Linked DNA regions of Oryctolagus cuniculus. Each later gene encodes a partner of the first gene's protein in a complex. Links are inferred from orthologs where the notes say so. Each region holds a gene or a part of one and is shown on either strand. Other genes may lie near its edges. The genes, in order: RALGAPA1 and RALGAPB.

What was found.
Region 2: RALGAPA1 (region 1) and RALGAPB share a complex: the UniProt entries of both Homo sapiens proteins name them as parts of the heterodimeric RalGAP1 complex. The link is inferred for Oryctolagus cuniculus from reciprocal best matches to the Homo sapiens genes RALGAPA1 and RALGAPB.

Annotation. Positions count from the first base shown.
Region 1 is NC_091443.1:40,050,016-40,053,841, forward strand, and holds part of RALGAPA1 (ral GTPase-activating protein subunit alpha-1), read left to right. Parts: exon of another isoform or gene 1-2,567; coding exon 2,568-2,716; 3' UTR 2,717-3,826. UniProt on the Homo sapiens protein: Catalytic subunit of the heterodimeric RalGAP1 complex which acts as a GTPase activator for the Ras-like small GTPases RALA and RALB.
Region 2 is NC_091442.1:20,223,956-20,227,781, forward strand, and holds part of RALGAPB (ral GTPase-activating protein subunit beta), read right to left. Parts: intron 989-3,826; coding exon 806-988; intron 218-805; coding exon 66-217; intron 1-65. UniProt on the Homo sapiens protein: Non-catalytic subunit of the heterodimeric RalGAP1 and RalGAP2 complexes which act as GTPase activators for the Ras-like small GTPases RALA and RALB.

The DNA.
Region 1 (3,826 bases):
ACTGTGTGAGCACTCCAAGAGAGTAACACATACGTCATACATAGCTGGGAGCCCACAGGTACTCTGGGAACTCTGTCCTTAGGGATATAATAATATAAGCGAATCTGCATTATTTATGGTCCAGGAGATGAAATGACATGTAGGTATCACTGTATTCTTTACATGTAAAATTGAGGCCTATCCACTGTGAATTATTTGTGGAGTTTGCATATGTTGAGTATATAGCACAAATGCCATTTGCTAGTGCATGGGAACTTACAGATAACTTCCACCACCCACACTGACAAGCCCGAGTGGCCTCTCAGTTGACTGAAAGGGGACTCAACTAGAAATAAGGGAGACAAAAACTGGTTTTGGGAAAAATATTCTTCGAGTTTGGTGGACCATAAGTGCTCTCCGATAAAACTTTCTACGATGGTAGAAATGCTCTGCACTGCCCAGTATAGCAGCCGAACATGTGAAGTATGGCTAGCGGACTGAGAAACTGAATTTTTAATTAAGTTTGATGAAATTTATTGGGGCTACCATACTGGACAGTTCAGTGCTAGAGATTTTATTCCTGGGTGGTTAGGATAATATGCCACCAGTACAGTGAACACTTTAAAGAAAGGTGAGTGTTACTGAAACTCTCATAGACGTTTTTTCTTCTTTTTTCCTATATGAACTTGTGTTGTTAGTTGGTAAGTATCTCATTTGTAAGTACAAAGCACTGTCCATTGTCAGACATCACCATTGGAACTCACTGCATGCTCAGTTACATTTCCTAACGAAACCCTGATTCTTCTCCGCTTCTCGATTAACATCTGTAAACTTCTGCATTGTGTCGCTCATGTCTGTTACCTGTCTTCTCTCTCGTTTTCTCACTTCTGCTTGCTACTCCATTCTTCATTCACAACAAAGAAAGAAAGGCAGTGATAGTTCTCTTCCTCCCAAAGCCTCCGCTAGAAAACATTGGCCATCTCAAGGTAAACAGCCACGGGAAGGCCTCCCACACCGCGGGACCCAGTGCGTTACCACAAAGCATGAACCACCCACCGCTCTTCACCTTCCTCCGCCATCCCTCTGCAGCGCTTCCCTGTCAAGGGCCATGGGTTCGTAAGATTTAGATTTCCCAATACAGATCCACTACAAACAGTTCAGATCTTCAGGAAGAATAAAGGCATATAGAATTACTTCCTTCTCCTCATGTTTCAAAGAGCTGGCTCATTTCAGTTCAGACGTAGAAGATACTTTGAGGAGGAAAGTAGTTGACCTAGATTATGAGTTCACAAAATTTTCTCCCTTAGTACTGTGTACGCCAGACATAACGTGGCCTTAACTGCTTCACACATCAGGAGACAGTAGGATCCGTACTCCTTATTGAACATTTTTGCTTTTCTTTAAATAGTTAGAACCTTAAGCACAGATGTTTCATTAGATGAAGTGCTGGCATAATTATTTCCAAGGTTGAAGCATCAGTGAGGAGTGCTGCACTGGCTAACAAATAAACCAAAAGTTTCCCTCCAAAGTAAGGGAGTGTATAAATTTAAGCTTGAAACATGGGTGGGGTTTTGCTTGTTTGTGACACAAACTTTTCATATACTCAGGCCCCTCAAAACCTGGATGAAAGTGCCTTAAAACACAAAAATACTTGAAAAAGTTTGTGAAAAAATGGAATTGTAAATTTTCATACAGAAAAAATACTAATATCTGTGCATAGCTTTTTCATAATATGCCTTTTCCATGAACAGTTCGATGACCTCTCATATACAGAATTGTATGTTTTGTTTCCAGATTTTCTACTTCTAATGTAATCTTACTCATTTGTCTAGAAAATATTTAAAAACTTACGGTGTTCAAGATTCTGTAAAGAATCGTAATTCATAGAAATAAAATACAGAGGTGAAGAACCACTTTGTAAATGACACAAAGAATTTTCTTTGTTTTGCTTCTTTTAAAATCTTAGCTCTACTAAGTACCAGTTACTTGCTGTGCCTGAATACTGTAACTGCCCAAGTTTAGCTCTTCTAAATTAAGAAATTTGAGCCAATTTGTCCTTTTTGACTGACTTGCAGATGAGAATTCTTATCTTTGTCCCCTCCCCAGGAATTCATCTTTCTCTTTCCTAAGACCATATTTAAACACCAGCATGTACAGTGGTCTCATAGTGCTAAGTTCCTTCTTGGAATTGTTGGTTCCAAAATTGAAGCTGCCCCACCCCCGCCTCTTGATTTCAGTTATGTACCTTGAACCCTAGAGAGAGGATTGGTTCTCCTCACTTGCTTCTTGAGCTCTTCGCTGCATGTGGATGGTGCTGTGGATCCCCGTTCTTGCTGGCCCAGATTTTGTTTCCCATTACTTTTTCCACGGTTCTGGCCCCGAGATACTGATTGGCGCTTTCTTGCTAATACGATGGCCTCTGCCAGCAGCTCAGGGAGCTGTTGTAGCAGGCAGGTTGGAGGCTTGCTCTCTCCCTCCAAAGACCTGCCTGAGGGTCGGGATCCTTGCCGCAGATCGGCAGCAGAAAGGTCATTCCAGATGGGATGAGAGGACGGGTGCCGGACTAACGTCCTTGCTGTTTCCTGCAGGCTCCTACCCAGAGGTTCTACCCAGTGAAACTCCCACAGCCACGCAGGTAGACGGGGCTGACCTGGCCTCGCCAATGTCTCCTCGAACTAGCAAAAGCCGCATGTCCATGAAGCTGCGTCGTTCCTCTGGCTCAGCCAATAAATCCTAAGGAGACAGCAGCCCAGGAGTGACCAGCAGTAGTAGCCACCTTAGCACGAACACAGTGTTAACCCTCTCAGGCCCTCGTGTCTGCCATACCACGCATGCTCCTTCCTGTACATTTGAGAAAACACTGGATTTAAATAATTTGTAACTTAATATTTTAATGTGGATTATTTATTTTTGTTTCCCCCCACACTCCAAGCTGCCATATTTTGATGGTGTGGAGTTTTATTCTACATTCTTTACCTTCCTAGATAATTATGTGTCAGTAGTTTTACCTTAATTTCAAGATAAACTTTGAGTTAAAATATAATTGGACAGTAGTCTATTTATTGTTTCCCATTGCATCTTTATGTCTCAATAAATATCAATTTTTTTTTACAAATGTAAGGTTTTAAGTTTAAGCATTTGTAAAGTTAGGGCAAAAGTCACAAATCTGTTAATACACAGAATGTGTACAGATTATTTATGTTATGAGAATAAAACACTCAAAGTAAATGGACTTTTAGCATCTCGAATTCCTTGGAAACAATTTTAGCATTAACAGTTTCCTCCCAAGGCAGTGTCTCACTTGTCGGCTGAGCAGCTAACGCTGTGACATACCCATTAACAGAACAATCACTGTGCTGGACTTTGATTTATGTTTAGCTTCCAGATATTTTTCTAATGTTTTGCTTTTTTAAGTGGTATCATTGTTAAATGCCATTTCTATTTGGAGATTGTGACCCTTTATTATGGACTGCTAGGTCCTGGTGTACCTGTATTCTCTTAAAGTACCAAACAGAGCAGAGAGGGAGGGAAGAAGGAAGAAACTTTGCTGAAACAAATTGCTCAAATTATGTGTATTTAGAAAAAGAAAAAGTAAAGGGAACCTGCCCCAGGAGTGTAAGGTAAACCTGATGGTGTTAAAACCGAACTTGCAGGTGCAAGTTGTCCACATTCCACCCTCCAGAAATATTTTCCTATAGTGGATAAGCTGCTCACGTTTCTTTTTGAATGGGCATCTCCTAAGGAAACGTATGTAGCATGACATGGGTACTAACTGCATCTGTAAATACATCATACTGGCAACCGTAAAATATAAATTATATATCATCACTGGTGTAGTATCTACAAA
Region 2 (3,826 bases), on another chromosome or scaffold:
ACAATCTGGGAGGAGATAAAATAGTATGGATGGCTAGACACAACCTGGTGCAGCCACTTTCATACCATGTCAAGGTGGCTTCAGCAGCATCCTTTACCCTCATAGAGGCAGGGTTTGGCTCTTTATCTCCTTTGTACTTGACCTCTTGCTCACTGTTCTTGGACTTACTTCCTGAGATACCCAATTCCACAATCTCTAGAACTTCCTTCAGGCAGTCCTAGAAGCACAAAAGGCAGATCAATTTTTGTAGCATACCCTTCTCAATGAGATGATAAGGAATCCATCAAAATATTAACAGTGGTAGTGTTTGGGGGGTAGGACTCCAGCTTCTAATTTTATCTAAACATAAATGAATTTCACAATATAATGAACTTTATATTTATAGCCCCTTCCCCCAATTTCTCTTTAGAAGAATGAAATTTGAGTGTTCAAAGAATTAAATTTAATTCAATCTTATCACTGACAATTCTTGTAAAAATTACCATGACGTGTAAACTGTGAAAAAGCTGTATCAGTAACTCAGTTAAATATGGAACAGTTTAGGACATGTTAGATTCAGGGTTGTCTTTGAAAGGCACTTCTCTCAAAAGGACTTCTCTATGGGTTAGTTTGCAACCAAATATAAGCATGATAAGGAGTGTTTAAGTTGTGCTCACAAGGACAAATATTCTACTGAAATCTAACAGGCATATTTGGTTTAAAGGGTGCAATATAATATAGTATTTAAATCTGAATATTTTCCTTTAAAAGGCATTTTCCCAATATACCTTTTTGTTTCTACATAATGCCTTAAAGTTAAACTCACTTTTTCATCAAGCATATCAGGGTGCTCTGTCAACCAGACACAGAGACACTGAAAAGCTGCCACTATCATGGAGTGCAGGTCCCGGGAGTGAAGAGGAGCTGGTCGACTACACTGGTATACAATGTAGCTGCACACAGAACTGATGGCTCGCTTCCGGTCTCCTGAGTCAACCACCACTTTCACCTGGTATATTCATTTGGGCAAGAAAAACAGTTAGCCAGGAACCACTGAACCCATTTCAAGGCATCTGTACCAAGGCTTGATCTATCTGAGAATGTCATACATCACAGGAAGCCTTGCTTTTTAAATATTACGTATATACAAAACCAGAATATTTCAGATGTACTATAATACTGTACAAAAATAGTGGCATTTCTTTCAAATCCTAAAACAGTATTTCAGTTTAGCATTGTTTTTCCTGCCCTAAAACCCAAACCCATTGAGTGTACATATTTATCACTGCCAGAGACTGAAAAAACAGCTGGCAATGGAGCATGCCCATGTTTTTAAGTCCCTAACCCAGTCTCACAGCAATGCTCTATGCTCTGCATGACTGCTGAAGGTATAATTACCTTACAGTAAACTGCACATATCTAAAGTGTGCAATTTGATCACTTTTGGCATAAGTATCCACCTGTAAACAAACTATCACCACAATCAAGGGTGAACACTGTTTATCAACTCCAAAATCTCCTCAGGCATTTCTGTCTTCTCTGTCTCCTCTTCCTTGCCCTCCCTAAACTGCTTATCTCAGATTAGTTTGCATTTTCTAAAGTTTATAAAAATGAAATCATACACACATGTATGATTTTTTGGGCATCTTCATTCAAAACAGTTATCTTCAGATTCATCTACTTGTGCATGTATGTCAGTTATCTGCTCCTTTTTATTGCTGAGTAGTATTCCACTTCAAGATATATCACAATTTGTTTAACCAGTCACCTGTTGATGAACATTTGGATATTACAAATAAAGCTGGTATGAACATTTATGTACAAGTCCTTGCATGGATATATGCTCTCTTATTTCCTAAGAATGGAATAACTGGGTCATATGATTGGTAAGAATGTATCTTTAACATTTTAAGGAACTGCCAAGTTGTTTCCAAAATGGTAGTTACATTTAACATTCCCATCAGTAGCTTCTCTACAACCTCACCAGCATTTGGTATGGTCATTTTCATTTTAGTCATTCTAACAGATATGTGGCATTTCATTGTGGTCATAATTGCATTTCCTAACAAATTATGATAGGGCATTTTTTCATGTGCTTATTTACTATCTGTAAAGCTCCTTTGGTATAGTGTATTCCAATCTTTTAACTGCTTTAAAATTGGGCTGTCTTGAGGGTTTTGTAACTGAACATTTTGCTGCTGTTACTGAGGATGAAGAGAAACTGGAACCCTCACACACTGATGGTGGGAATGTAAAAGGACTCAGCTGTGGAAGACAGTTTAGCAGCTCCTCAAAAGATTAAACAAAGATTACCGGGGCCAGCACTATGGTGCACTAGGTTAACCCTCCGCCTGCAGTGCCAGCATCCCATATGGGTGCCAGTTCAAGTCCTGACTGCTCCTCTTCCAATCCAGCTCTCTGCTACAGCCTGGGAAAGCAGTGGAAAATGGCCCAAATCCTTAGGCCTCTGCACTCACATGAGAGACCTGGAAGAAGCTCCTGGCTCCTGGCTTCGAATCAACACAGCTCCAGATGTTATGGGGATTTGGGTAGTGAACTAGCAGATGGAGGACCTTTTGTCTGTCTCTCCATCTCACTGTCTGTAACTCTCTCAAATAAATAAAATTGTAAAAAAAATAAATAAATAAATAAAAAATTACCATGGGGCAGGCATGATGGTGCAGTGGGTTAAGCTGCCATTTGGGATACCCACATCTCATGCTGGAATATCAGTTCAAGTCCTAGTCAGTCACTTCACTTTCGATATCGCAAATGCACCTAAGAAGACAAGTACTTGGGTCCCTTGCCAGCTACATGAGACCTGGATGGACTTCTTGGCTCCTGGTTTCTGGATCACTGTGGCTGTTGTGGACAACTGGGGATCTCTCCATCTCTCTGTCACTACTCCTCTGTCACTCTACCTTTAAAATAAATGAATTTTTGTTTGTTTGTTTGTGTTTTAAAAAAAAGATTGCTATATGATCCAGCAATTCCACTTCTAGGTATACGGCCCAAAGAACTGAAAACTAGCATTCAAACCAATACATGTACATGCATGTTCATAGCAACAGTATAAACAGCCTAAAGATGGAAAGCCCAAATGCCTATCAATTGATGAATGGATAAAAAAATTGTGGTATACAAACACATACACAAACACACAATGGGATATTATTCAAAAACAAAAGTAAACAAAATTAGGATATATTCTATAACATGAAACTTTAAAACCACATTAAATGAAGGAAGCCAAGCACAAAAGATCACATAGTACATGATCCCATTTATACGGAATGTCTAGAATAGGACATAGATCCATAGAGACAAAAAGCAGATTGGTGGTTGTCAGGGATAGAGGAAGGGGGATGAAGAAGCAACTGTTTAATAAGTACAAAGTTTCCCTTTGTGGGGGCCAGCACTGTGGTGTAGCAGGTAAAGCCGCCGCCTGCAGTGACGGCATCCCATATTGGTGCAAGTTCGAGACCCAGCTGCTATACTTCTGATCCAGCTCTTTGCTATGGCCTGGGAAAGCAGAAGATGGCCCAAGTTCGTGGGCCCCTGCACTAGTGTGGGAGACCTGGAAGGAGCTCCTGTCTCCTGGCTTCGGATTGGTGCAGCTCCAACCATTGCGGCCAATTGGGGAGTGAAACAGTGGGTAGAAGACCCCTCTCTCTCTCTCTCTGCCTCTCCTTCTCTCTGTGTGTAACTCTGACTTTCAAGTAAATAAATAAATCTTAAAAAAACCAAAAAACAAAAAACAAAGTACTAGTCGTCACTAAATTGCTCACTTTAAAGCAGTTAATTTCATGTTATGTGAATTTTCATCGAAAAAACACTTAGAGAAGCC